Tamandua tetradactyla: one gene and its partners. Each later gene encodes a partner of the first gene's protein in a complex. Links are inferred from orthologs where the notes say so. Each region holds a gene or a part of one and is shown in the gene's direction. Other genes may lie near its edges. The genes, in order: CUL3, KLHL42 and KLHL12.

Region 1 (10,214 bases):
TATATATATATATATATATATATATATATATATATATATATATATATATTTCTCATAAATGAAAGTTCTTTAAAAGTTTATGAATGGGTTAGATTATAAAGTTGCTGCTTTTCAGCTTAATGAGGTATCCACTGTCTCATAACTGGATGTTAAAACTAGCCATTCAATTAGTCTTTTACCCAATAATCAGCCACTGAAGAACTGAGCGTTTAGAAATTTAAAATCAATTTACGGGTCTGTGGTAAGTTAAATTATCTACCCCAACAAACTCACGTTGTTAATCCACATCTCTATGGGTATGAACCCATTGTTAGTAGGGACTTTCCAAGATGTTATTTTCAGTCAGGGTATGGCCAACTGAAGCACAGTTAGTCTTAATATGGATCACTGGAAGGCTTATAAAGAAAAAGCCGTAGGTAAGAGCAAGAAGGTGGAATTCAGAGGGAATCCATCCACCAGGTGATAGGTGGCAGAAATATCAGCCAAGGAATCCCAAGGATTGCCTGCAGCCAGCACCAGAATGCCACAGTCTTCAGGACTACAGCAAGCCTTGCTGACACTGGACTTTGGACTTCGCCTGGCCTTAAAACTGGGAACCAATAAATTCCTCTTGTTTAAGCCGACCCATTATGTGGTCTTTGCAATAATAATTCTGGCAAACTAAGACAAGGATTAACAATTAATGCATGATATTAATCATGGGTTAGAAATAGGCCCTGACAATGTTTATATCTTTTAGTTTCTTAAAGGTTTTTCTTCTCTCTCTACTGGGGCTCTTTTGCTTTACGCAGATTTTGATTTTTACTTAGTTCTAAGAACTAAGAATACAGTTCATTGTAACTGAAGACAAATAGCTTATTGGATAAGTTTAAAGATAATGCTATATATTACATTTGTTGACTATCATAGTTAGAATTCATTACAATTTCCAAATCCAGTGTAAAATTTAGTTCTATATACTTTTACAGCTATACGTCACTTTACACATACACTTTACGTCAACTCCACAATTAACTTCACAAGGACTGACATGAGTTATAAATTTCAACATGTATTTTACTCATCACAAATGAAAGCAATACATATTCATAATTGCCCCCTGGAGGAAATTCTTTTGCTTCAAAATAAAATCACATGGATGTGATACCTATAATTTTTAATTTAGAATTTATATTGTTAAATTATGTTAGTATTTTTTCCTTTTTTTATGTTAGTTTTGTACGTAGGTACTTTTATCGCCAAAATATTAATTTACTGGGTAAAAGTACAACACTGTCCAGGCCAACTAGAAACTTTCCAGAGCTGCCAGGGAGATTATTATTTTTTTTTTTAGCCTGACCGTGTGAAGAAAAATTAAGAGATGGGCTTTTATGATGTAATTAGTCATTTATGATTTTTCTTTTTGTTCAGGATGCAGCTTGTCTCATATGCTCATGTTTCACATGCTTCTTGTCTCAATGATATAAGGAAAACAGTAAAGACAAAGAAGAAAAGGTACATGGAGAAGGCGTACAGTTTTCATGTATTTAAAGTATCTATGATTGGGCAGGCCACGGTGGTTAAGCAGGCAGACTTCTCGCCTGCCATACTGAAGACCTGCGTTCGATTCCCTGCCCTGCCCATGCAAACAAATAAATAAATAAATAAATCGGTCAAAGTATCTGTGGTTATGTTCTTAATGGGGAACTCTCTCCCCATTAACATGTTATCTTACAAAGCTTGTAAGCATACATCTACCTTAAATATATACAAAGCCACGTCCAACGGCCTGCAATGCTTATTAATTGTCTGGTGGAGACAAGGTAAAAAAAAGTAGAAGACATAGCTCTTGCTTTCAAGGAAATGATAATATTTATAATCTATATCTTTCCCTTCCAATTTGAAAAACATGCATCTTTTCCTAACACAGTCTTTCCTTATTCAAATACACCGAACAGATCTTTCTAATTTAATTGGTGTCAGCTGTTTTAATATCTGCATAATCAAATCAGCAGTCTGACACAGTGATTAAAGTGCAGTGGTATCCCAGATACCTAAAACTTCCAGCTAAGTAAGTAGAAGCTACTCCCTTTCACAGGCTCTTCAGAGCCCATTCTATCTATTCACAGACTGGGGTGTAGAAAGAGAGCTGGCCCACAGGTCCCCTTCCTGACTGCTATGCACATGCTCCATACAAATCAATGGAAATGGGGCTACCATTTTCCCACGTCAGGACACAGTCAGCATAAGTAGCAACTCCAACTGGCAGGCATGCATGATCTAGTGAGTTCCTATTCCAGCCCTGCTTTCTCTGTAACTGTATAGCAAAGCTAATATCCTGAAAGTTCATTTGCTATTTGTGAATCAGGGACTATCAGTGGGCATAAAAGAATAGTCTACTGCTACTTTAGGGGTTATGTCATACATATTTAAAGGATGCTGCGTTCCTAAGAAAGGACATTTCTGACTTCTGGACCGTAGGGTACATAAAGCTATTGCTGAATGGTTCATGGGTTTGTGGTTTCCAAATCCTGAGAATGTGAATAGGACTATATGTCCTGTGAAGGCAGGTCTCATTTGTCATTTAACCTTAGTGCCTGACATACAGTAGCCATTCGATAAACATATCTTGATTGAACGGAAGAATAAATGAACACATGAATGAGTAGTGGATTTCTTAATGGCAGTGACAGACAAATTCATTTTGAAGTTTTTCTGTTTTGTGTGTGTGTGTGTGCTTAAAAGCCTAACAGAAGACATAGCTGAAAAGATTCTTCTTAAGTGCAGCTAAATTTTGCATAAGCAAAAGCAAGGTAAGAAAAACTGGGTTCACAAAACAATTGATGCAATGCTGGAGTATGAAGTTTTCTCAGGTTTACAGTGGAATAAGAAAAATCAGCACAATGTGTTGCTTTTCATAAAGCTAAATTAATCAATGTAAAGAACAGCTCTTTACTAAAAAATTGACCTTCCTTCTTTCAGTGGTTAAAATGCTTTTTCTTTACTAAACTGATGGGATAATCTGTGGTAGTTTTTCTTTTCTAATGCCATAATTATCAAATTAAAGTTGTTAATCCTACATCCGTTTCCTAATATTTTGAAAAATATTTTACTAGTTTGTGAAGTCTATGTCTTGAAGCCTGGCTTAGTTTTAAAATATGAACATTTTAAAAAAACATACATGTACCTTTTAGAAACCCACATATTAAATAAAAGAAGATAAACCATTATCTGTGAGTATAAGCAAGATACCAAGAGGGTAGCTGATGAGCACTGCTCTCAGGGCTTTTAAAAATGTATTAAGTCATTTAAAGTTGCTAACAGCCCAAACAGGAGGTATTATTATTATTTCAGTTTTACAGATGAGGAACTCTAGGCACAAGTTCTTGTCCCAAAATACACATAACACAGCCAGTAAAATGGCAAGGCTGGGATTCAAAGCAATATTACAAAGAAACTGGGCCACATGACAGTACACCAGTAGGAAAGCACTGGCTGTTTTCATATTCTAATGATCATGGAAATGATGGCTCAATTAGCACACAGATTATAAACTCCTATCCAAGATTTATATTATCTGATATTTAAACCAGAGCCCCTCCCAATCTTACCTTATTGTCCCAGTTATTGATGACCTATTTTTAGCTTCAGTATTTATTCAGATATTGCCTCAAGCAACACCCTCATTTCTTAAGCTCCTGCTTTGATAGGTTAATAGCAAAAATCAAAAACAAGAAAATACATTTCCAATGGGGCGTGTCAACCAAGTAGGGGCTGAAAGCATACTCACAAGGTAGTTACCAGGACTATGTTAACTTAGGGCAAATTCAACCGTAAATTAACAACTAAAAAAAGCACACTTGAGTTTACTTAATCGGTTTTGTTATAAAACAATTAAAACTCCGGTTTTCCAAAGTAGATGCCCCTTCCAAGAATTGTGAAGATCAAATACTTTAGTAGGAATGCACACATCCCTCCGCAGAGCCTGAAACCCAAATATAACAATAACTGAGCAAGTAGGTAAAATCAGGAAGTAAAATTCAAAATGAATGAAAAGGCAAAACGGACAAGTCAAAACTAAGTGTTTTGAGTACAGTGATAAAAAAAACCTTTCAATTTTACAGCAGCTTGAGTTAAAGACAATAATTTTGGTTTTAAATACCTACAATGCTCTTGGTAATGGTAAAAATGTTTTGACAGGTTAAAGGTAGGTTCTTATCTTCCATTTAATGCTATTTTCCAAACTATGGCACTACTCTAAGGGAGTTACTGTATTTCAACGGAAACGAAAAACAGATTTTAACACCAATAAGCCCTTAGTCCCCAGAAAATGTCAGTGAGTTCAGAGTCTGGGAGCTTCCTCAATTTAAGGAAATGTTGCGGATTAACACCTTCACCACTAAGTCCTGAGAGCTCGGTGAGCACAACCTGTACGAATACTCTGTTAAGCATACAGAACCCTAATTTCCGACACTGCAGGACACTCTGGCACAAACTCTTTCGGCTTTCTGGCTTCTACCCAGGTACCCATCCCTAGTACACATGCCCTAGAAAAACACAGGAACCAGTTCTAGGACGTAGCTATGCACCTAGCATCCCACGCTCCTCCCCGAGACTAGCCTTTGCCCACCCAGCCAAACCCCGTGCTGTCCACTTCCCCGCCGCGCCCGCTCTCCGGACTTCCCCCTCCCACTTCGCCCACGTGACCAGAACACCCCCGCGCCCCACCAATCAGCAACCACCTCTGCCCAGAGCCTGGTTCCGACGCTCGCCTGTGGAGAAGGCTGCTAACTCCTTCCGCCCTCAGCCCCGCCTCTTTCCCCGGCTCCTCGCCCCAGCGGCCCCTCCCATTTCTGCAACTCCCGGTTCCCCTCCTCCCTTCTCGCTGCACCCTCCCGCTCCCGGGCTCTGTGCCGCCCCACCTGGGGCAGCGCGCTCGCCCCTTTCTCGCGAGATCTGAGCGTCCCCGCCGCGGCCGCCTGCCTACCCCTCCCGTCCTCCCGTCCCCCCCTCCCCCCAATCTCTCCACTCTCCGGCTCTCCTCCCTCCCTCCTCCCCCCTCCACCCTCTGGGCCGGATCTCGTCTCGCTGAGGCGGAGGAGGAGAAGGAGGAGGAGGAGGACGTTCGGCCTGCGCAGTGAGATGTTTGTCCGTCGCCGCCGCCGCCGCCATCGCGGAGGAGCGCGATAAAGGGAGCCGAGCCGGGCGTGAGGGGCACCCCGCGGAGCCGCCGCGCCAGCGCAGCCCCCTAGCCGAGCCCGAGCCGTCGGAGCTCGAGCCGCCGCCGCCGCCGCGGCCGCCCAGGGGCCGGCCAGCTTCCCCAGCCCAGTCCGGGGGCCGTGCCGCCGCCGCCCCCAGCGTCGCCCCTCGCCTGCCCGCCCGCCTTAAATGTGACACCGGCGCTCGGAGTGCGACCTGAAGCCGCCGCCGGGGAGGGGACGAGCACCATGTCGAATCTGAGCAAAGGCACGGGCAGCCGGAAGGACACCAAGATGCGTATCCGGGCCTTTCCGGTGAGTACCTCCTCGGCGCCCGGGACCCCGGGGCCGGAGCTCCGGCCGAAAGCCGCACGCGAGGCCCGGGCTGAAGTCCCCCAACAGGCCGCAGGCCCGGTCTCCCCTCCCCCCACGCCCGCCGGCCGCGGGGCGCAAGCCTTCTAGGCAACCGGGCGGCGCAGGGCCCCGGCGCGGCCGCTCTCCTGGGCCGTTCCCCGTGCCCAGGCCCGGCTCCCTGCCCCACGCCCCGTAGCTGCGCTGCCAGCCGGTCGACGGGCGTCGGCTGCGGCCGGAGCCCCTTCGCTGGTCCCAACACTTCCCCTCATTACTGGGGTGTAGGCCCAAACCCAGGCACTCCTCTCCCCGCTCGTTTCCTGGGACTCCAGCCCAGCAGGGATGGGGAGTATCGTAGTCCTCCTTGTATGGGGTGTGTGTGTAAAATTTCACGTGTGATTTGCAGCGTCTTAAGAAATAACCCATCCTAAAAGACGGCCAAGCCTTTAGGGTGATAGGGGACTATCCTTTCTCTCTCTTTTTCTTTATCTCCTACTCTATTCCCTCCTTAGGAAGGGTTATGGGCCATCAACTTACTCTCGATGTAGTGACAGTGGTTCCACGTAATGCTTGATGGTAATATGCTAATAAATCCGTGTATTTATCACATCTTTCTTCCCATAACCGTCCAAAGCACTTCACAATTTCTCTCGTGCAGAAATTGCCTCACCAGGGACTAGGGGAAGCAAGAGAGAACAGATTGGACAATTGGTCCTCGATTTCCCAGCCTTGGAAGTCCAAACGAATGAATAGTCGTTGCCCTAAGTTGCATTACTCTATCGGTTTTAGTGACAGCAGATGTATTATGTTTAGAAACTTTGTTTTTATGTATCGCGTTGAGTCAAACGCTTGCGGCGTTTGGTTAGATAGGGTATAACTTTTGATTTCCTATCTGATTCAGATAGCCAATGGCAAGCAATTAAAATGCGCTGCTGTAACAGAAACTGGACATACTTGCTCTTGTCGCTACGGTAACAGGCATACGACAGGATAGACAAAGTAGCAGTTGAACTAGGATTAATTTTAAAAAGTCAAACTAGAGAAAGATCTTGATTTTCCTTTCTTAAAAGCATAAACGTACATCAGGTGAGCGAGAAAGGAAGGACATTTGTACTTTTTTTTTAAGCGTGCTTTTTCTAAAGTACACTGTTTGCAGAGAGAAAAAACTTAATATAATTGTCGTAGTTGAATGAGTAACAGTCCCGGAGAAAAAGAAAATACACTGGTGCAGAAATCTGAAATGTCATTGTTTAGAAATTTAAGACTATGTAAATAAAGGTAGGATGTACTCTAGAGAATTACATGTTTTGATACTGTTTAAACGGGTTTTGAATTTTTAAAGTTTATTCCCTAAGCAAATGTGAGAAATTGCATTAGAACATGAGAAATGTTGGTAAGAGTACAAATGTAACTGGCATGTTTTTCTCGTGATGGGGCAAAGAGCTGGATTTATGAATTTGTGAGTAACGTTTTCCTACTAAGACCTTTTTTAGCAGAGTTTAGAACTATTCAGACTTTTGTCAATTAAATGGACAACACATTTTCTAGGAAGTGTTTACTATCTTAAAACTGCTCTTTCTTGAAGTCTGAGCTCTTTTAGTTGAGATTTGTTGCTAAAATGTGGAGTAGCTCATATTTAACATCAACTCACCTGTTACGATAATATTATACTGATTAAAGAGTTGTTTCTCTTTTCACCTTTACCTACTTACCGACTGTTTGATCTCTAGATTTGCCTGCTTTTACCTGTTCCCCCTCTTTTCATTCAGCAAATGTTTATTGAGTATATGAACCACATGCTATTCTAGGGGCTTGGGGTAAATCTGTATAGCTTGGAAGACCAAGATCTCTGCTTTCTGGAACGTGTATTGTTGCAGGGCTTCGATGGAAGTGAATTTTCTTTATCCTTTAACTGACAAATATTTGTGATGATAGGTTCACAAATAGTACTGGAATTGGTTTAATTATGAATGTTTTAAGATTCTACTTAATGTTATTTACAGTGCTGTATGGTTATGAGCTAATTTAGACCCTTTCTGTCTATACTTTATTGTCCTGTTTTTCTAAAATCCTTTAATAAAAGTTTGCAAGGTTTGATATTTAGTAGTTAAAAAAATCTAATTTTTAAAAGCGGGAGTTTTTTCATTACTATTTTATAAGTAAGCTATTTGGAAGTAGCTCCTGTTGAAAAGAATCATTGTTTTTTAATATTTATTTTTTAATTCATAGTTCCATGAGCCTTCATTAAGGACAGATGCATGCTTCTGTGAATGCTGTTCAACTGATTTACCCTCTCGTGGTTGAGTACTTATATTCTTTTTTTTTTCTTCCAGGTTAGCAACCTTGACTACCTAACTACAGTCTTCATGGGTCACTAGTCAGAAGTAGTAAATGCATAGCCTTCCTTAAAGAAAAAAATATTGTTTGTGTGGTATACTTACAGCTAGTGGGTTTTACGTATACCATGTGGCCATATAGTTTCTTAGAAGTTAAAGGAAATTATAGTTTACCCTCAAGTCTCAAGTGCTCACTAATGATGTTTTTACAAAATTGATGTGTCAGAATTTATGAAAATATATTTTGCGAACGTTTTTTTTCATTGCAAAATGGAGTGGTGAGTGAACTTACCAAATATATTGTATAGATGTGTGGGTGGACTCTAGGTATAGTCCTACTTAGTAAAGTCAGGTGCTTTTTAGTGATTTGAGTGCATACTTAAAGTGTGCTTTTATGATTGTGCTGAAGAGTGAAAGTTTTATCGTACCACCATTTAATGCACTATTTGCTTTTGAAGTAGACCTTTTCGTAAGATTTCAGGAGAAACTGGTTCTCTTAAAGATGAAAAGCAACAAGGAACTTTATGTATTTGTAAACTGCTGACAATAAGTTTATTCTGGTTTGTAAGCTTTCTTGAAGTGTACAAAATATTTGTCATTTCATTTGTGTTAATGTTTTAAGAAATGTTTTTTTGGTACCTAAAGTCAGAGCAAGGCCACAAAACATATAAGGAAGCAGCAGGCTATAGTTGTAAAAAGTCATATGGGTTTGAACCAAATAATGCTGCCCCAAGAAATCCCTACTCTTTTCCTTGCTGCCTGCATGTGTCTTACTCCTGAGTCTTTCTTTCACTATGTCTGGTTGGTTACTGTAGGATGAACATTTTGTCCCTATCTTTGAAAAGCCATACCTCGCCCATCTGTACTGTTAGAGTTTGGGTCCACAAAGGTATGAAAGTTTTTTGCTATCAGAACGAAAATGTTTGAATGAAAAAGCTGTCCACTGTGGTTTTGTCATTCTTAGTTCAGTCTTCAGACTTCAGAAGACATTAGGAAAATGAGTGAAGGTGATCAGGCTCTTAAGACCTTTATCTTGAGACCCTGGAAATGACTTCAAGTACTAGTTAATAAAAGTGTGCTAAATCATGATAAGAAAAGATCTCCTTTTGTGAAATCACCGCATAATTCTAGAAGAGCTCTATAAGGAGTAGTCTTTGAGTATGGACAGTGAATGATGTGGTTTTGTTTGGTGGAACCCACAGAGGATTGATATTAATGAAATAAATGAGTTTCTTTTTTCTTTTTCATATTTTTTTTGGCATGGGTAAGCTCCGGGAATCGAACCCGGTCTCAGCAGAGCAGGAGAGAATTCTGCCACTGAGCTACTGGTGTACCACCCAATGAATGAGATTTAAGATAAAAGGAAGAAAAGTCTAAGAATAAAATGGGGATAGTGAATTATTTTGTTTTGTTTTTCTAACTATAGTGATATTTCCCAGATTTTGGGAAACAGCTTTAATCTTCATAATAGGTTTCTCTTTCTCAGGGAAGAGAAATTTTACCTAGAACTATCTGAACTATATAGGTAGGAGAGCTGAGTAATAGAATTAGCTATAAATTTGTTTTTCATTCTCTGTATACTTACTTAGAGGGAAATTTTGGAATAAGATATAACATGCATTGAAGTGTTAATGATTTTCTTGTTTAATAGTTCTGGGAGAGTAGGCTGTGTTGTAGCTGTTTCTCTGACTTTAGAAGTTGGGAAATTCAAGGAGTGTAAATTAGTTATCTATAAAGTATTTTTTCCGCTAATTTTGTTTCCTGTGAACATTCAATAAGGAAAACTTTGTGCTCTTCCAATAACAATTAGAAGGTCCTATGCCTCCCATTATTATTATTATTGTTTTTTACTTTTTTAGTTGTGAAATGTAATCTATAAAAAAGCAGTAAATTTCAGAGTACATTTTAACAGGTAGTTTTTATAGAAAAAATTTAAGTGTGTGGTATGGGTTTATTTCCTTTTAGCTGCTCTAAGACTAAAAAGAAATGTTAATATAATGATTTTTAGTAGTCATGTCATTTGTCAAATCTTTTCTATTATGATTCCTGCTCCTTTGATCCTTCTCCTAATCTTTAGGGATATTTGGGCAATGACTATTCTAAATACTAAATGTTGAAAAGGGATGTCAACGTTAAGAGGTAGGGACATGTAAGTGGCTGATGTTTTTGGAGAGACTTGGTAACTCAGGGTTTCTGGGTTTATCTGGACTAGGAACCATCTATAAAGTGTTTATTTTGCATTGTCTTTCTAGATAGCATTTTAGGGGAGACTGGAAAATTATTAGTACCAATATTAATTTTAAACTATTTTGGTAGTAAATATTATGTGAAAATTTGGCATTTTTGCACA
Region 2 (10,214 bases), on another chromosome or scaffold:
CCAGGATTCTTATTTTCTCAAGTGTCCCAAGCGATTTCTTAAGATGTTTGGAAAACACTGATATGGGTTACTGAAATGAATGGTAGTAATGCCTGTATAAGGATGCCCAAATTGAATTAAATACAGTCCCTTTTAAGACCCTGTGCTACTCATTTAAATTGTACCATATGCTTTAATGAAAGGAAGATGTTTAAATTTATTTGATGCTAAGCAGCAAAAAGAAATAGACGCTTTTGGGAAAAATCCTTCTCTAGGGACTAAACAAATAGAAATAATTTTAAATGGTAGTGAAGTAATAGGATAGGTTTACTAAATTCAAAAGACATTTGAAAAACAATATTTCTCCCCCATTTTAAAGTATCAAATTGAATTATTTACTTAACATTTTAAATTCATTAGTGATAAAATTAGGGGAAACTGTTTAAAAAATGAGGCCTGAAATTTTAAATGTTAATTTTTCTTTAAAAATTTTTGCTTTTATTAAATTGATATATATTCACCAAAAAATCCAAACAATATACAAAAGTACAAAAAATTTAAAAACTATTCAATATTTTATAATCTTAACATTTTGATAAACATCCTTTTAGGTAGCACGATGAAAAATAGATATATGTATTCAATTTTACATAAATGGAATCATACCATGTTTGCTGTTCCTGAACCTGTTTTCAAAAGATGCAGTGTAAATTTCATCTTTCAATTTCTCTAAAGAAAGTGCTACATTAAAATTTGTAATGGCTCTCTGGCATTTCATTGCACATACCTACTAACCTACTACAGTTTACTTAGCACCTCAGTTTCTTCAGCTGTAACATAGTGTAAAGACGGCATTATAACTCAGGTAAAACATTTACAAAAGGCCCAGCACATAATAAACAATAAGTGTTAGTTACTATTATTATACTTTTTTTCCCCAATATTTCATTGTTAAAAGCAATACTGTGACAAATATCCTTTACTTACATATTTTCTGCCTGCTAGGTCAAAAGGTATATTTTCCATAATTTCTTAAAGAAATAGCCTAACTCTATATATGATCATTACTTTAGTCTTTTGTAAAACAGTTAGCAGTGCAAAGTGATTGACTGAAGTGAATCGTAGCACGACAAAGACTAATCTTTATCAATAACAGATCTATAAAACTATTCTTCCAGTTAGATATACAAACTATTTCTATGAAGCCTAAAAGTAATATTTTAGGTCATTTGTGAATAAGGAGTTTATATTGCTTCGATTTTGCATTTCTAGCTTAACGGAAAACTTAATGCGTGAATTATTAAAGTGATATGATCTTTTAAGATGCTCCAGGTGCTGAATTACATTATTATCATGATGGGGACCAAAAAACTTGTGGGATTAGTATTATCAGACTAATAACCAGATTCCCTGCCCAAGCTGATCTTGCCCCAGCGATATTACCATGCTTGAACTGCCTTTTTAATACAGATCCTTTTTTGAGTGTGAATTTTTTGGTCTGGTCTAAAAAGGCAAGAGAACACCAGCCTGAGGCGTATCTATGTTGGTTGGGAAACAAAAGCATTCATTGGTGAAAGATTCTAAAGGGACAATGGAGAGACTGAGACTCTGTTCTTGGCTGACCCACTGAATCTGTCTTTGTCGCTAAATAAGGCACAAATAAATCCCAGGTCCAAGTCTCTTCCATAGAGGGGGCGCCTCCCAGCAAAAGTTCCCAAGCCTACTGCCCAATTCTGCACCTGGCCCTTGATTTGCTAAATGCATGGGCACTCATTCCCAAAGTACCTTAGAATGTCTCGACTGCATGCTCATTGAGAGAAGAAGCATGAGAGGTAGGTGAGAGAGTGGTGTTTTATCAGCAGTGACTTAAAATACAGGTAAAACAAGGTGAAGAGCTGGCATCCAAGAAAATAACTCAATGGTGCAAGTCATAGACCCATCTTTTTTCTTCCTTTTCCTATGGAGGCCATAATCTGCCAGAATTTTTCTGTTTTGTTTTGTTTTTAAATTTCAGTTCCTTATTCATGATGCTATAAAGAAAATAATGGGTGATCAAACTTCACTACGAAGTAGCTAAATTACACAAAAAGAAGCATAAATGTGACCAAATTGTGTTGAAAGGATTTCATGTCTTACTGATAGAATTTTCTTTTCTTTCTCTCTCAATTTTTTTTTTTTTACCCTTCCCTCTTCCTAACATAAAATGTAAATAATCATTGGAGGATGTATGGTCTGCTTGAAATAGGGGACATTTATTTATGAAAAGAATGTTATTTAACGACTTGTCATCCAAGAAGAAAGCAGAAGCTAGTAACTTAAAAAATACAAAAATATATATATTATTGGGATGGGGTGGGGAAACCCTTTGGAAAATTAATCTAAGATTTTTTAAAACTTTAAAAATTTTATATATACACACAAACATGTGTGAGAGAATAGTATAATGATGGCTCATGAACCTATCACCCAGCTTAATAATTATTGACATTTTGTTGATTGTTTCTTTCTCCCTACTTTTTTCCTTATTTTAAAGCAAGTCGCAGAAATTATTTCACTTATAATACTCATGAGTGTAAAAAAAGTTTTAAATGTATAATATTGTGAAATTATTACACCTAACAAAATAAAATTAATAATTTATTAATGTAGGATACAGTTCTGTCAGGCCAGACTTTTCTGTGCCCTGACCATACAGTTAATTATGTGGCTGGCTGTGGACCTAATGGTAAAATGGGGGTTCAAGGATAGGTACTGCCTACTTACTAGCTCTGTGACTCAGGCAGGTCCCATTAGTGCTGTAAAACGAGGGACTAGATTGGATGGCATTTAAGCTTCTTCCTAGCTTGATGATTCTGCCAAAATACAGATGATTAAAAAAAATTAACGGCAGACAATATCATCAGAATATGTGATGCAAGGGACGTTATGTTAAGGAAAAATGGCGTTATACTTAGATCTAGTTTTGCTTGTTCACACTAACGATTTGAAGCCATTTGTTGATTCCTTCTGATAATCGCGTTCCATAATTGTGGAAGTGAAAAGCATAATTTAAGAACTCGAGAAAGAAAAAGTGAAATCATAGGCACTCACCTAACCTGATACTCATTCTAACGTGAGGAAAAAAATCCATTAGTAAACCACTGAGGAGTGAATGTTACCTCCTGGTGAATTACCCCCTTCCTAACATGAAATGTTAATTTGTATTATTGGATGTATATTCTGTTTGGACTAGGAGAAATATATTTATGAGGAAGTTATTATTTAATAGTTTGTTATTCAAGAAGAAAGCTGAAGTACGGTAACTAAAAAGGAAAAAAAAAAATCCAAACCCAAATGCCTCGCACGTTAAGAACTATACTAGTTGGCCCTCAAATCTTGGTTTGGGGGACGTTTCCAAGAGTTTTTTTTAAGAGAAGAGTGACCACACCCCTGGTGCTCCCTTTCAAGCATTACCCTTCCTACCCAAAGGTAATTTAGTAATTTCCATTCTTCCCCCATCCCCCCTCCGCCACCTTTTGTGGGATTAATTCGCATTTCATGAGCAATACAAGGGCCCTTCCTATTAATGGGATGAGCTTTACATTTGCGATGCTCAGTGAGAAAAGACAAGATGGTCTCTCTTCAAATACTCCTCAGATTGCTGGGGGAGGGGGAGTGTGAGCAAAAGCCACCAGACTTGATGCCTAAAGATAATATTTGTAATGGCTAATCCGGATAAATCGAAGTAGGAAAAGCAATGGTTGTTAGAAAGGTATTTGTTGGAAAATAATATATGATAAAAGAAAAAAAGGAAGTGTAATCTAACTTTATTTACTTGAATTATACTTCAGTTTGTCTTCTAACAGCATGAAGGTAAGAGGGGGGTCCCAGCAGCAAAGACAACTTTCCAACCCAGTGCACCGGGCGCGCTGAGCCCTGCAGAACCTGCTGCCATCTGCCCGGGCCTTCTGCAAGATGGTTCCTATACGATGACCACACCGAGGAATCAACTGGGTGTCATGACGTGTCCAGAGACTGCGGGTGTACCTCCGCCCTCTAGAACACGGCGCTGGGCTGGCCCAGATGAGCGGCCCCAGCTTTGATGTTTTTCGTTCTCTGGACCCCAGACTGCCTTTGCCTTCATCCGTTCTCTTCCACGCCCGTTTCTTTTTTCCCCTCCGAAGCAGAGCGAAAGAAAACACAAAGTGGGTTCATCTCCCTCCTTTCCCACCCAACTGGTGCGCACCGGGCGGGCCGGGAAGCTGCGGGGACGCGCGTCCGACCTGCTCCCGCCGCCCGCGCGTCGGCATTCCGGGCGGGCGAGGCCTGCAGCCTTCCAGCTCTCGCCGAAAGCCGGATCCAGTTCGCAGGTCTAGCGGGATGCAGGGGTCCTGCGGGCGGAAGTGAGAAGGGAGGCGTGGGAGGAGGCTGCAGGCTGGGGGTTGGGATACCCTCCCCGACTGACGCTGTCGGGAGAGTCCAAGCAGGCACCGCGGCCGCCTCCCGACGTCGGCGCGCGCGAGCTGGGCCTTTTTTGGCGTGGAGGGAGACGAGAAGGGCCGAGCCGCAGCCATCGGGACAGGAGGAGGGGCTGCTTCGGAGGCTCCGCCGAGACCCAAATAGGCCGGGCGAACGCGGGAGCGGGCGGCCCTTCGCCTGCCTCCTCCTCCCGGACCCCATCCCTCGGTGAGCCCAACCCGGAACCCGGAGAGCGCGCGGGGGCGGGGAAGACAGCGCGCAGATCTGGCGGGAACCCAGTCAGCCCGCAGCCCCCCAGTCATGTCGGCGGAGGAAATGGTGCAGATCCGCCTGGAGGACCGCTGCTACCCGGTGAGCAAGAGGAAGCTCATCGAGCAGAGCGACTACTTCCGCGCCCTGTACCGCTCCGGCATGCGCGAGGCCCTGAGCCAGGAGGCCGGCGGCCCCGAGGTGCAGCAGTTGCGCGGCCTCAGCGCCCCAGGCCTGCGGCTGGTGCTGGACTTCATCAACGCCGGCGGCGCCCGCGAAGGCTGGCTCCTGAGCCCGCGGGGGGAGAAAGGCGGCGGGGTGGAGGAGGAGGAGGAGATGGACGAGGTGAGCCTGCTGTCGGAGCTGGTGGAAGCGGCCTCCTTCCTGCAGGTCACGTCCCTGCTGCAGCTGCTTCTGTCCCAGGTGCGGCTCAACAACTGCTTGGAGATGTATCGCCTGGCGCAGGTGTACGGGCTGCCTGACCTGCAGGAGGCCTGTCTGCGCTTCATGGTCGTCCACTTCCACGAGGTGCTGTGCAAGCCCCAGTTTCACCTCCTGGGGGCTCCTCCCCAAGCCCCAGGGGACGTCAGTCTGAAGCAAAGGCTGAGGGAGGCCCGGATGACTGGGACTGCGGTCCTCGTGGCCCTGGGAGACTTCTTGGGGGGACCCCTGGCCCCGCACCCCTACCAGGGGGAGCCCCCGTCCATGCTCAGGTACGAGGAGATGACTGAACGTTGGTTCCCGCTGGCCAACAACCTGCCTCCCGACCTGGTGAATGTCAGGGGTTACGGGTCGGCCATTCTGGACAACTACCTCTTTATAGTGGGCGGGTACAGGATCACCAGCCAGGAGATCTCTGCCGCGCACTCCTACAACCCCAGCACCAATGAGTGGCTCCAGGTGGCCTCCATGAATCAGAAGAGGTAAGCGCCCCAGTGCAGTGCTGCTGCTTTGCCACTCATTCATGTGTTCAATAACGCACTCCGCTAGTGTTTACAGAACAGTCACCGGAGGCTGTGCTGAGGTAGAAATGACATCTTCAGGAGTGTTGCTGGCCTCGATACTGGCAAAATTCCCAGTGAATTCAGAACTTACAAGAAGAGGCTCCAATGGGGTCAGCCAGCTCAATAAGTTTCCTTGTAGGTGTTGCGCCTTTAGGCAGAACGGCCTTCTTTGCCTCTATTCTAGGGAAAAAAAATGATGTGGTTTCCTAGAGTATACTTTCTAAGGCAACTGCTTTTTTTTTTGTTTTTTGTTTTACTTTTTAGGATCTAATTCTCATTATAATGACACACTAGGCAGTAGCCATTAATCTTGATATGGGGGATTTTTTATTTTTCGCAGTCAGTGGTTTGAAGTCCTACACTGGAGCACCAATCCAAGGTCAGGAGACAGATAATCATTAGAGTTTTATACATATTAATTATTTGGGCTTTCCTTTTATTATTTTTTATCCTCTCTTTTGCTTCTTCCTCTCAGGCAGCCATTGCCATTGACTCAAAGCTTGAGCCTTGCAGGAGCCACCTACATACAATATTGGAATGTTTCTATCCACCCCAACCTCCTCTTTTCCCATCCTGCATGTCCTTCCACCATGAACATGGTGACTTGAAGAGAGAAAAAGAAGAGGAGGAGCTTGAGGGGAGTAAAAGCAGGGAAGGACCAGCAAAAGAACAGAAACAATGAGCACAAAGAGCAGATAAAGGAAAAGATGGTAGGAAAGAGAGCTGGTAGAGCCCAGGATGGCTCAGCCATTCAGAAGTGGGAGAAGAAGCAATGCAACCCAAGCAAGGATAGGAATACCCTTTCTTTTGGTCCACGTGTTTCCATCTCAAGTCCATCATTGTCCCTACCCTGAAGTTTGAAGCATGGAGCTCAGTGACCTCATAGGCAGGCCAAGAAAGTCTTAGCAGGAATGAGGAGGACTGGCTTTATTCCTACTATAATATAAAATTCATTTTGCAAAGTCCTCCTTTTTTCTGATCATAATAGAAATTATTATGGAAAAATGGAAATGAATGAAGAAGTAGAAAGACTGTCACTCCTACTTCCTCCTCCTAGAGGTAATAGCTATCTACAGTTGGCATATGTACTCCCAATCCTTTTTAAATGCATTTTTTTACAGCATTGAGGTGATAACATATTTAAATTTTGATATCAGAAATATTATTTTTAAACAGAAATTCCAATTAGGGTGGAAGGCTCAGTAGCTTCTCTGTTCTCTCTAACTTTTCAGTTGAATCAGTTGGTTCTCAGCATGCCATCCCCAGCTCCACAATTCTAACAACACCATACAGAGTTCATTTCTTTTTTTTTTTTTAATCTTTACAAATCTATAGTAGTCTTTTATCCCCCCTCCCCAGGAATGACCTGTCTGTCTTTAAAAAAGAACAAAAAAAATCAAATAATGCATGCATATATGCTTTTTGGAAAAATGAAAATGAGATAGAAAACTATAGAGTAAAAAGTATAAGTGCATTTATAGACATTTGGTATATTTTTAAAATATATTCAAAAGCTGTAAATATATGTTTATATAAATAGATTATAAGTATGCTCATTGTGGTTAACAATGGGGAAATGTATGTGTATATACATGGATACTTGGGTGGTGTGTATATACCTTCTCCATAGTTTTTACTCTAAAATTAATTCTCATTATTATGGCACTTGATATTTCCACTTATATAGTGTATCTGAAAGATTTTTCTATGTCGACGAATGTAGATAGATCTCATACTTTTTAATGGCTGTATAGTATTCAAGCCTATGGATATACCTTAATGTGTTTAGCTATTCCCTTGTCGCTTCCATTTGCCATTATAAGCAATGCTATATTAAACATCCCGGTATGTATGTGTGCATTTTAATAGACATATGTGAGCTGGTTACATATGGCAAATTCCTCGAATCCCTGGTTAGGTGGGACAAAATGTATGCACATTTAAAATCTTGGTAAGCTACTGCCAGATTGCCCATTAAATAATTGTTCTAATTTCCCCTCCCACCAACGTTGTTTGAGCTTGCCAGTTCCCTGTACTCTTGCCAAGACAAGATATTATCATTTTTTTAGAAATTTTTTGCCAATTTTATGAGCAAAAGCACTCATCTTTCCCTGATTAGAATAGACACTTTTTTTTCATATGTTTATTGGCCATCTGCATTTCTTTTGTAAATTACCTGTATCAACTTAAAAAAAATTGGCTTATCTTTTTCGTATTCATTTGCGAATGCAGGTATTAATCTTTTGTATTATGTAATATTGCACATATTTTTCTTCTGTCTTTATTTTATGGTACGGTTCAAAACTAAAATGCCTGAAGTGACCTCATAGGAAAAGTCAGTGAAAGGACATGTGGGTGGGAGTGATGGTGAAAGAGAGAGCTACTACCCCATCCAAAGAGACCACCAGCGAGTGCCAAATGGAAGTAGGAATTTGATGGTATTGCCACATCTGCTTTTGTATGTGACATCAAAACAAAAACAGAAACATAACACTTTGTGAATCAGAGTACAGCCCAGAACTGGCCTCGTAGGCTTTCTGGTTTTGAACTTAAGTTTTGTTGTGTATTCTTGGATAAAGAAATTAAAAAAATGTTTCATAGTCAACATTGTGATGTGTGTCCTGTGAGCATAGTATCTTGCATTGGGGGGCTTTTCCAGGGCAAGGGCGTGAAAGTCCTCACCTGTATCATGTCCCTATACTTCATAGTTTTCCTTTTTTACATTTAGATCTTGAATAGATCCCTAACTATAGGGGTTTATTTTCATATAAGGTACAATGGACAGTTATAACATTTTTTCTGTCTTAATAGCTCTGATTCTTCTGAAGGCAATTTGCAAAAGCAGTGTCATATGCTAATTTTCCTGTTTCCAAATTGGCAGATTAGCCATTTCTGCGTCAATAAATTTTTTTAAAAATTACTGTCACTTGGTAGTGTATTTATTGTCTGGTAGAGCAAGAAGAAATACCTAATTGTTCTTTTTTTTTTTCTTTTGTTCTTTTAATTCCGTTTGCTATTTTTTGCACATTTTCTCTTTCAGATAAATTTTAGAATCAGCTTAACAAGTTCTGTTAAAAAGACCTGTTGGGATTTTGTTTGGAATTATATTGTATTTACAGATTAATTTGTGGGAGGATTCACATTTTTATAAAATTTGGTAGCTAGAAAATTATCTTTTTTTTGAGTAATTAGGTCTTTGGAATTTTTTGGTTTACTTTCTTATCTTTGTGACTCAGGTCTTCCTGAACTTTCTGCTGGGCTAAGTGCTCCAAGTTTGTGCCCCTGTAGCATCTCATGCCCACTCCTCACCTTGAATTGAAATTTTCTCCATGTTTGTCCCCCTTGCGGTCCTGAACTATGACTTAACAAGAACTTATTTACAGGGTATGTCATTTTGTTGCTTTGGGCCTTATTGTGCTTTACAGATATTGTGTTTTTTATAGATTGAAAGTTTGTGGTAACCTTGTGTCGAGAAGATCTAGTAACACCATTTTTTTCACAGCATGTGCTCACTTGATGTCTCCGTGTCACAATCTAATAAAGGTATCTACACTTAATAGACTTCAGCATAGTGTGAATATAACTTCTATATCTACTGGGAAACCAAAAAATTCATGCGACTCACTTTATCGTGATATTCACTTCATTGTCATAATCTGAAACCAAATCTGCAATATGTCTGAGGTGTGCCTGTTGATTTGGTTTGTTAAAGTTGCTGGAATGCAGTATGCCAGAAATGGATTGGCTTTTATCAAAGGGATTTATTAAGTTACAAGTTACACTTCTGAGGCCATGAAAATGTCCAAATTAAGGCACCAGCAAGAGGATACCTTCACTCAAGAAAGGCCGATTGTGTCCAGGGCTTCCCTGTCACGTGGGAAGGCACATGGTGACGTCTGCTGACCCTCTGTTCCTGGGTTTCTTGGGTTTCAGTTCCTGGTTCCAGTGGCCTCTCCGAGCCTCTGTCTGTCTCAGAGCATCTCCAAACATCTGTATCTTGGGTTCATCTCTCTGTTCTCTGTGTCAGCTTTGACCTGAGCTCTCTCTATCTCTCCTTGAACTTTTTTCTTTAAACTTTTTTTTTAATTGTAAAATACAACATGTATACAAAAAAAGCAACAAATTTCCAAGTACATTTTAACAAGTTATTATAGAACAGATTTTAAAGTTTAATATGGGTTATCGTTCCATGATCTTTTGTTTTTGTTTCAGATGCTCCATGACACTGGAGACCAACAGAAATATCAATGTAATGATTCAGCAGTCACACCCATTTGTTAATCCTTTCTTCTCTGTGATACTCTTCCTTCTCTTTAAATAACATATATACATAAAAGCAATAAATTTCAAAGTACATCGCAACAATTAGTTTTAGAACAGCCTTCAGAGTTTGGTATGGGTTACAATTCCACAATTTTAGGTTTTTCTTTCTAGCTGCCCTAAGGTACTGGAGACTAAAAGAAATATCAATATAATGATTCAGCAATCATAGTCATTTGTTAAAACCTACCTTCTCTGTATAAC
Region 3 (10,214 bases), on another chromosome or scaffold:
CTTATCTCATTCCTCATCTTAGGGGGAAAACTTTGAATCTTTCTCCACTGAGTACAATGCTGGCTATCGGTTTTTCGCATATGCCCTTTATTGTATTGAGGAAGTTACCTTTGATTCCTATCTTCTGAAGTGCTTTTATCAGAAAAGGATGCTGAATTTTGTCAAATGCTTTAATCTACTGTGTTTTAACCTTTGGTTAAAAGAATTAAATATTTACCAAGCACCAACCATGTTTAGGCACAGTGCTTAAACAGGTTATCTACAAAGAAGAAGAAGGTAATAGTCTCTGCCCTCTCATTATGTAGAATACAATGGTATTGAGACAAGTGCCCATTCTTCCCTTGCTGTATAGCCTTATTTTGTGTGTCCCAGCAACAATGGACAACTTCTAAGCTTGGTCTATCTACCTACTCAGGAGGTCTAAGCTTGGTCTATCTACCTACCTACCTAATCAGGCTTCTTATGATTTTGTTTTGTTTTAATTATGAAAAATAACGTATATACAAAAAAGCAATAAATTTCCAAGTACATTTTAACAAGTAGTTAAAACAGATGTTAAAGTTTGGTATAGGTATACAGTTTCATGATTTTTCATTTTTTCTTCTAGCTGTTCCCAAGACACTGGAGACCAAGAAAATTATCAATATATTGACTCAGCAGTCATACTCATTTATTAAATCCTATCTTCTCTATTATATTCTTTTATTTTCTTTTTTGTGAAAAATAACATATACAAAATAGCAATAAATTTCAAAGTGTATTGCAACAATTAGTTGTAGAACAGATTTCAGGGTTTGTTATGGGTTTCAGTTCCACAGTTTTAGGTCTTTATTTCTAGCTGCTCTAAGGTACTGGAGACTAAAATATCAATATACTGGTTCAGCACTCATACTGATTTGTTAAACCCGACCTTCTCTGTATAACTCCACCATCACTTTTAATTTTTCTCCCACTCTCTAGGAGTATTTGGCCTATGCCCATTCTAACTTTTTCACGTTGGAAGGGGTTGTTATTAATATGGAATGGGGGATGGAACTAGTTGATGTTCTGAAGAAGTTGGTCCCTCAGCATTTCAGGACTTATCTGGTCCAGGGACCCATCTGGAGGCTATAGGTTTCTGGAAAGTTACAGTAGTACATAGAACCTTTGTAGAATCTTATATAATGCCCTAAGTATTCCATAGGATTGGCAGGAATGGTTTTGGTTAGGGGTTGGCAAGTTATGATTGTTGCAATGTCTAACTGAAGCTTATGTAAGAGTGACCTCCAGAGTAGCCTCTCAACTCTATTTTGAACTCTCTCAGCCACTGATACCTTATTTGTAACACTTCTTTTCCCCCTCTTAGTAAGGATGGCATTGTTGATGCCATGGTTTCAGGGCCAGATTCACCTCTGGGGGGTCATCTCCCATGCTGCCAGGGAGACTTTCACCCCTGGACGTCATGTCCCGAATAGGGGGGAGGGCAGTGGTTTCACTTGCGGAGTTGGGCTTAGAGAGAGAAAGAGAGGCCACATCTGAGCCACAAAAGAGGCCCTCCAAAGGCGATTCTTAGGTATAACTATAGGTAGGCTAAGCTTCTCTGCTATGTACAGCTTCTTATAGTTTTAATGGGAAACGTGTCTTATTCTTCTTTGGCTTGGGAGCCAGGTGATCTATTCAGCCAACTGAAGCCTTGAAATCTAGTTCTGTACCTGAGTCAGTCATGAAGGAGTTTCACATAATTCTTGCCTAGGCTCTTTAACAAATAATGAAGAACTTAAGGTGTTTGTTCTTGGTGTTCCTTAAAAGATAGCTATATAAGCACTTAGACATTTGGGCTGTGGAATAAATATCTGCTGTTATCCATCTGGCTAAATTTCCTAACTATTTACTGTTCACCAAAAAATAGCTAATTAATATAAACATTTTAGAATCTAGAGTAAGATAACAATGACTTCCACACAGTGGCTCTTTCATTGTTTTTATGTTTGCTTTGATCAGGAGTGTTCCTGGGACTTGGCTTGAGTGGTGTTGTGCCCACCATGCACTTTACTATCGCTGAGGGCTTTGTCAAGGCCACCACAGTGGGACAGATGGGCTGGTTCTTTCTCATGGCTGTGATGTACATCACTGGAGCTGGCCTTTATGCTGCTCGAATTCCTGAGCGCTTCTTTCCTGGAAAGTTTGACATATGGGTAAGAAATGACTCTTCCAGTAGGGACTATGATGGTGAGTGGCCAAAGTAAAGTTAAAGGTTGAGTAAAAAGGTGGTAATAGACTTAGGAATCTTGCACTGTTTGTGCATTACATATGTATATACACATAGAAAAAACTGTAAAAAAATAATATTTTGGTGTACTTTTGAGCAGGACTATTTTAAAAGTTTTCTATAATAAAGATATCACTTTTATGATGTAAAAAAATAATTTTGTTAAAGAAACCGAAAGAGGCAGATGTTTTCTCCCACTAGAATTTCTTCTCCTTTTTTGCCATTATACTAAAGGCTTTTCTTTTTTTTTATTCCTGCAGTTCCAGTCTCATCAGATTTTCCATGTCCTGGTGGTGGCAGCTGCCTTTGTACACTTCTATGGAGTCTCCAATCTTCAGGAATTCCGTTATGGCCTAGAAGGTGGCTGTACTGATGACTCCCTTCTCTGAGCCTTCCCACCAGAGGTGTGGCATAGGAACTTCCCAAGTGCTTTTAAAAATAACTTCTTTGCTGAAGTGAGAGGAAGAGTCTGAGTTGTCTGTTTCTAGAAGAAACCTCTTAGAGAATTCTTTACCATCAAAGCTTCAGCCCACTTTCACACTCACTGGGCAATAAACTTTCCATTTCCATTTCCCCTAGTTGGTGGGGAAGAGGATAGTCCAATTTATCCCTCCCCCTCCGTAAGGCAACTACCATTCCCTCAAAGAGACAGTACTTTGAAGCTCATGTTGAGATTTTACTCCCTCCTCAGACCATTTTGAGAAAAAATGATGAACTGGGACTCTTTAGAAATTCTGTTTCTGAAAGAAAATGTCCCTTCCTTACCCCAATCCTTATTTTGTAACCTGGCTTATGACAGGCCATCCATTTTTGTAGCAGACTTTTCAAAAACAATTATAACCTGGTCCCATCTTTTTAGGGCCTGAATCTGAGTATACAGCAGCAAGATCAAAGCCACCAACTTTTACATAGCCCGGCTAATCATGGAAGTATGTCCAGGCTTCAAATAACTTGAGTTTTAATTTTTTTTTTCTTGGCAGAGTAATGTAAAGTTAAAATGGGAAAAGATATTTAATATTTAATACTAAGCTTTAAAAAGAAACCTGCTATCATTGCTATGTATCTTGATGCACAGACTATGACGATAATAAAAGAAAAGTACAGAAGATACTTGGCATTCAAAGATTTAACATTTCAAGGTTTCAACTATTTGCATACTCCAGAGGTCTACGACATATAACAGTTTCAGATTCTGCTGAGGCATAAACTTGAATCATGAGCTCTGACAGACTGGTATATGTGGGCCAAGAAATAAGCCTAACTGAATTCCTAGCATTTGCTCCTCAATGCAGCTTATTTTTCTCTACCTATTGCAAGACATTTTATTGGGAAAATTAATATTCTATAATGGTATCAAATAATTAGAGGATTCTTAAAGATGTTGGGATCTCCTAAAATTATCAAAGGTGTACTATATATTATTTTAGAGTTAGTTTCTATTAACACTGCCTTGGTTAGGCTGTCTCATAAGGGGTCATTCAATGCCTTTCTGTGTCTTTGTGAATTATACTCAAGTTCTGCTCATAGATAAAGTGAGGCCTACAGTAATTACTTCTCAGCTAATATAGGGTGTTGAAGGAAAGTCTTCTTGGGTAATAAAGTTGGATTCACTTCAAGTTTGTACAACTCAGGGAGCAAGTGATGTTTTTAAAGAAATAATTCAACTAGGCAACGAACAAGAAGTTTCTCAACCTCAAGTGGTGATAGAGAAATGTAAAATACCACAATGATATTGCATTTCCCTACAATCAAATTGGCACAAATTAAAAGGCCTAAAATATTGAGTATTCACAAGGATGTGGAGCAGACCAAATGCTGCTGGTAAAAGTACACATTGGTGTCACCGCTTTGTGCAGATATGCATCAGTATATGCCTTGTGCTCATAAACAAAAAGTTCATTACAGCTGCTTGTAATAGCAAAATATTGCAAACAGCCCATGTCCAAAACTGTTAAATGGAAAAATAAATGTCGTTAAAGTTCACATAATGAAACACTAATAGTGAAAATGAATTACAGAGAAAGCAATGGTTGAATTCAGAAGTAAATTTGTGGAGGAAAGCAACTTACAGATGAATACATATGGTTGCATTTATATAAAGTTCAGAAATGTGCAAAACTAAAGATAGTTTAAGGATACAAGCAAATGGTAAAATCTTAAAAAGGGGAATGTTAATTCAGAATAATGGTTATGTCTGAAGGGTAAGGCACAGGGTGGGAGGAGAGGGACACACCATGTTTCAATGGTAAACTTTACATTCTTTTTCCAACTAGATGATGGGTACCTGGGTATTCATTGCACTGAATATTTCAAAGATACAAGTGTTTTATATCTATTTGATATTTAGTAGAAAACTTTTGTTAGCAAAAGTCACAAACTGGTTACTTGCAGGCCACAACTGTCTACAAACATGTTTTGTTTGCACAGTGGGAACAGTCGACTGAAGCTGAGTAGCAGCTATGTCCTCTAGAGAGGACTTGTGTAGTTCATTGTCCCTACCTAGCCTGCTTCACTCTTAGGAGTCATCTGCCTGGTTTCTGGAGTCATCTCTGAGTTTGCAACCACCAGTATATAACTGGAAGGAAAGTTTGGGAACACATCTGATACAACTCCATCCACTTCCTAGGTGAGGAAGTAATGAGGTCTGGAATATGTGCTGAAGCCTAGTGTATGCTTATTGTTTCAGCAATAAGGCCAGAGACGTGGATCTGAGAAATAACAAATATTTATTGAGCACCTCATTGTATCTAGTATTTAAATGAGGTAGGAACTTGATAGTGTCCTACTTTTAGGGGCCACAAATGCCTTCCAATTAATTGTCTTGGGGTAGAGGAAGCAAAGCAGAATCACTTCAGGAGAGATGAGTAGCCCCATTATGATGCAGAGAATGTGAAGGTTTGTGAATCGCAGAGCTCAGAGGTGTCTCACCACAGTGGAGGTCTGCCCGAAAAGGTCGTTGTGGAGAATGGACCTAAAGAAATTGGAATCTTCTGTGGGTTTTCTCGATGGGAGAGGGTTCCTAAATAGCTGGCAGGTAATACGTACTCCCTGGAATCAGAACCTTAATTTACAAATCCTTGGAATCCTCTAAATCTATTCTGCCTCGTGAGCCGTGGGGAGATGGGGCTCAGCCTCAGCCAATCACCTAGCTGGAGAGCAGTACGTCGCCCTGCGGGCCGGACCCGATTCAGCGCCACCTTTCTCGTTTCCTCTCTCCCTAAACGCACCGAAGCTGGGCATCTGGGTAGAAACTGGTCACGTGAAATGGCTGGTCACGTGACGCAGACCCCGAGGAGGGAGGGGGCCATCTTCCAGCTGCGTTACGTCATCACGTAGCGCGGCGGCGGTGAAGAGAGCGGCGACCAGCACGGTGACCGCTCCAGAGCCTCCGGGTTGGGGCGGCGGCGGTGGCGGCGGCGGTTCGGCCCCTCCTGAGCCGCCTGCTAGCCCCGCGCCCCACCCCACCCCCACGGGCGGGGGACGGGCCCGGCGCGGCTGGGTGGGCTCGGGAGTGGAGGTGAGTTGCACGGAATTGGAGGCAGTCAGCACGTTCCTTCTTACCTTTTAGCTCCCAGTATGGCCCTTCCCCCTTTCGTCGTCTCCCTCCGGGGAGGAATGGAAGGGACGCCTTGGGGAGCAGGAAGGCTGGGGGCATTTAGCAGCTGTATCCGTCCTCTCTACTGCGCCCCACGGCCCCCTCTAGTCCCTCCACCTCGTGGTGCCAGCCAAAATGCTAGTGTCAGAAGAAGGGAGCTCTTTTCCCTTCCCTTTTCTCCTACCTCGATTTTATTCCTAACAAAATTTGCCCCGGGTCCCCAATCTCCCATGGTTGAACCCCTCTATTCACATCTTAAGGGAAGCTCTGGAAACGGTCACTCAGAAAGTTGTGCGTGAGGGTTGTGGCTGAGACTTTGCTGGATGACAACTTGAAGGACAAGTAAGAAGACCTTGCTGCAATAGCGTTTCTGTCAGTTTTGACACTGACACTCTAAGTCTAGTTGTAGGCTGAGCCTGTGATAACCACCCAGAAAATCTTCACAGTAAATGGGCATTTGTTCAAATCCTTCTTAAGCCCTACAGTTGAACCTAAGTTGATTTTAGGAAAATCTTTTTGAAAAACATCATATGCTTCCACAAATCACTTCCTTTTCTGTAAAATGAGTATTGCAGAGAGTTGTTCTACAAGTATCTACAGTGCTTACAAAATAACATGCTACCTGTAGACAGAAGTAGATGAAAATTTGTGATAGCAATGAGGGGCTAACTTAAGTATGATTACACCTTGTTGACAAGAAAGCACTCCTTAAATTGATTTTTTATGTGTAATTTATTGAGTTCATTTCATTAACATATAAAATGAACTCTGAAGGTGACAAGCTACGGCAGTGCAGTTAGTGGTGTTCAGATAGGTTTTTAATCTAAATAAGGGTCTCTGAGTAAAGAAGAATTACTATAAATATTGATTTGTTAATGTTGATGGACGTTTACTAATAACATAGAGTAGGAAAATCCTTTTCTTGAAGGACTTCTGTTGCTTCATCAAGTAAAAGTCCATAGGCAGCTTGCATGGTTTCCCTTATGATATAGGCTCTGGGTCATCATTTGAATTTTATTTTGAGACCCAGATATATTTGGAGGTCATAAATCATTATTTACATTCCTCTTTAGAAAAAGATATTCACTGACTTTGACCTTTCTTGCTCTCGGTTAAACTCGCACTTTGTTTATTCTTACATTCAAGTAACTAACAGTTACTCTGTGCCTGCTGGGCTAGAAAGATATATAACATGGGATCCCCATTCACTAAGTACTTATCATCTACTGATGGGTATAAGTTTGTAATATTACTTTTAAAGAATTTATCATTTCATCATTTCAGACAACAACCTTATGAAAATATGTGGGAAATATACAGTTTCTATTGATGACAATAACTGTCAGGTGGTAGGGACACTCAGTATTAAGAAATCAGAGGAGGGCCAAGATGGTGGCTTAGCAATGTGTGCATTTTAGTTCGCCCTCCAGAACAACTACTAAATAACCAGAAACAATACAGAACAGCTCCTGGGACCACGTGAGTGACCAGACACACAGCGTACCCCAGTCTGGACCAGCTGGACCTGCTGCGAGCTTCCCCAGAATCGTGAGTTTCCCAAGCCGTGGCAGCTGGCGCCCCTCCCCCACAGGCTGCTTCCCACAGGAGAAAGGAAAGAGACTTAACCAGCAGCAGGGGCTGAGCCCAGCCAAACGCCAATTGTGACATTAATTAACAAATTCTGTCTACTGAAAGTAGGCTCCCAGCTCAGGTGAACCTGATCAAGGTGGAGGTCACTCATTTTTGCCCCAGCACCAAGGGGGCAGGGCTGATGGAAAAAGAAAGGGGATTTATTTATTTATTTTTCTTCATGGGCAGGCACCGGGAATCGAACCCGGGTCCTCGGGCATGGCAGGCAAGCACTGTTACCTGCTGAGCCACTGTGGCCTGCCCAGAAACAGGTTTTTGTGGCTATGTTTCTACAAAGGCTGACTGCCTTTGGATACAGTGGCAGGGCTTCTCAGTCTGCAACTGCTCCAGGCATAGGCAGAAACAAGCTCGTTTGAGGGCTTGTCTGGAGCCTGTGCCTTCCCCAGGAGAGGGGTGAAGCCCAACTCAGGTGGAATCCCTCCCTCAAGGAATTCAGGCACCAGGGCTTGGTAATTTGAAGCCATTAAAACCAGCCTACAACCTCTACTCTGTCTCCACCATGCCCCCAGCAGGGAGAGTCTGCCAAAGTTAAAGGTACTGCATCATCTTATGTTGGTGGGACCAGCAGGCAGACAAGCAGCACATACTGGGCAGGATAAGAAAAACAGAGCCCAGAGACTTCACAGAAAAGTCTTTCAACCTGCTGGGTCTCACCCTCAAGGAAAACCGACACAGGTGACTCTTTCCTCCTGCTAGGAGGCCAGTTTGGTCTGGGAAAATCCAGCTGGGGTCCATAATAACTAAGTAGACCCTCCTAAGTGTGTGTGGGAGGAAGACACCGTACAAGCAGGGCAAGAAACAAGAAAACAAGAACTGAAAAATTCTCCGCTGTTAAACAAAACCTGAGCTAGAGGTCCAGATAAAGCTGAACTGGATGTCAAAGAATAGATAGACAACAAATCCACCAAGAAAATCCTAGGTAAAAGAAGTGAAAGCAATCTCCAGAATAAAATAACTAAGGTAATTAAATGCCTAGACACCAGCAAAAAAAAAATAACAAATCACACTAGGAAAATTGAAGATATGGCCCAGTCAAAGGAACCAAATGAGATACAGGAGCTGAAACAATTCAGAATATATGAACAGATATGGAAAACCTCATCAAAAACCAAATCAGTGAATTGAGGGAGATATAAAGAAGGCAAGGAGTGAACAAAAAGAAGAAATCGAAAGTGTGAAAAAACAAATCAGAACTTATGGGAATGAAAGGCACAGTAGAAGAGATGAAAAAAACAATGGAAACCTACAATGGTAGATTTCGAGAGGCAGAACATAGGATTCGTGAGCTAGAGGATGGAACATCTGAAATCCGGCAAGAAAAAGAAAATATAGGGGAAAAATGGGAAAATATGAGCAGGAACTCCGGGAATTGAAGGACGATATGAAATGTATGAATATACATGTTGTGGGTGTCCCAGGAGGAGAAGAGAAGGGAAAAGGAGGAGGAGGAGGAGAAAAACTAATGGAGGAAATTATCACTGAAATTTCCCAACTCTTGTGAAAGACTTAAAATTACAGATCCAAGAAGTGCAGCATACCCGAAAGAGAATAGATCCAAATAGATGTACTCCAAGACATTTACTAATCAGAGTGTCAGAGGTCAAAGAGAAAGAGAGAATCTTGGAAGCAGCAAGAGAAAAGTAATCCATCACTGTGCTGGTTTGAAAGGAAGCATGCCCCCTAAGAAAAGCCATGTTTTAATATAAATCCCATTTCATAAAGGTAGAATAATCTCTATTCAATACTGTATGTTTGAAACAGTAATGAGATTATCTCCCTGGATGATGTGATTTAGTCAAGAGTGGTTGTTAAACTGGATTAGGGGATGACATGTCTCCACCCATTTGAGTGGGTCTTGATTAGGTTCTGAAGTCCTATAAAAGATGAAATATTTTGGAGAATGAGAGATTCAGAGAGAGCAGAGCAGAATGACATAGCCACAAGAAGCTGAAGTCCACCAGCCAGCGGCTTTGGAGGTGAAGAAGGAAAACGCCTCCCGGGGAGCTTCATGAAACTGGAAGCCAGGAGAGAAAGCTAGCAGATGATGCCGTATTTGCCATGTGCCCTTCCAGCCAAGAGAGAAGCCCTGACTGTGTTCACCATGTGCCTTTCCAGATGAGAGAGAAACCCTGAACATCATCAGCCTTCTTGAACCAAGGTATCTTTCCCTGGATGCCTTTGATTGGACATTTCTATAGACTGTTGTAATTGGGACATTTTCTCGGCCTTAGAACTGTAAACTAGCAACTCATTAAATTCCCCTTGTTAAAAGCCACTCCGTTTCTGGTACATTGCATTCCAGCAGCTAGCAAACTAGAACAATCACCTACAAGGGAAGCCCAATAAGACTGCATAGATTTCTCAGCAGAAACCATGGAGTCAAGAAGACAGTGGGATGATATATTTAAATTATTGAAAGAGAAAAACTGCCAACCAAGAATTCTATATCCAGCAAAATTGTCCTTCAAAAATGAGGGAGAAATTAAAATATTTTCAGACGAAAAATCACTGAGAGAATTTGTGACCAAGAGACCAACTCTGCAAGTAATACTAAAGGGAGCACTAGAGACAGATACGAAAAGACAGAAGAGAGAGGTGTGGAGAAGAATGTAGAAAGGAAGACTATCAGTAAAGGTAAAGAAGGAAAATTAGATATGACATATAAAATCCAAAAGACAAAATGGTAGAAGAAAGTACTACCCATGCAGTAATAACACTAAA

Evidence for each region.
Region 2: CUL3 (region 1) and KLHL42 share a complex: the UniProt entries of both Homo sapiens proteins name them as parts of the BCR(KLHL42) E3 ubiquitin ligase complex. The link is inferred for Tamandua tetradactyla from reciprocal best matches to the Homo sapiens genes CUL3 and KLHL42.
Region 3: CUL3 (region 1) and KLHL12 share a complex: the UniProt entries of both Homo sapiens proteins name them as parts of the BCR(KLHL12) E3 ubiquitin ligase complex. The link is inferred for Tamandua tetradactyla from reciprocal best matches to the Homo sapiens genes CUL3 and KLHL12.

What each region holds. Positions count from the first base shown.
Region 1 is NC_135329.1:200,349,311-200,359,524, reverse strand, and holds the start of CUL3 (cullin-3), read left to right. Parts: upstream 1-5,309; 5' UTR 5,310-5,426; coding exon 5,427-5,492; intron 5,493-7,767; exon of another isoform or gene 7,768-7,782; coding exon of another isoform or gene 7,783-7,827; intron 7,828-10,214. UniProt on the Homo sapiens protein: Core component of multiple cullin-RING-based BCR (BTB-CUL3-RBX1) E3 ubiquitin-protein ligase complexes which mediate the ubiquitination and subsequent proteasomal degradation of target proteins.
Region 2 is NC_135333.1:90,930,889-90,941,102, forward strand, and holds the start of KLHL42 (kelch-like protein 42), read left to right. Parts: upstream 1-4,253; 5' UTR 4,254-4,737; coding exon 4,738-5,609; intron 5,610-10,214. UniProt on the Homo sapiens protein: Substrate-specific adapter of a BCR (BTB-CUL3-RBX1) E3 ubiquitin-protein ligase complex required for mitotic progression and cytokinesis. The BCR(KLHL42) E3 ubiquitin ligase complex mediates the ubiquitination and subsequent degradation of KATNA1.
Region 3 is NC_135330.1:60,147,265-60,157,478, reverse strand, and holds the start of KLHL12 (kelch-like protein 12), read left to right. Parts: upstream 1-5,142; 5' UTR 5,143-5,213; coding exon 5,214-5,282; intron 5,283-5,621; exon of another isoform or gene 5,622-5,765; intron 5,766-7,209; exon of another isoform or gene 7,210-7,391; intron 7,392-10,214. Other genes in the region: ADIPOR1 (adiponectin receptor protein 1), read left to right, coding at 1,981-2,174, 2,509-2,637. UniProt on the Homo sapiens protein: Substrate-specific adapter of a BCR (BTB-CUL3-RBX1) E3 ubiquitin ligase complex that acts as a negative regulator of Wnt signaling pathway and ER-Golgi transport.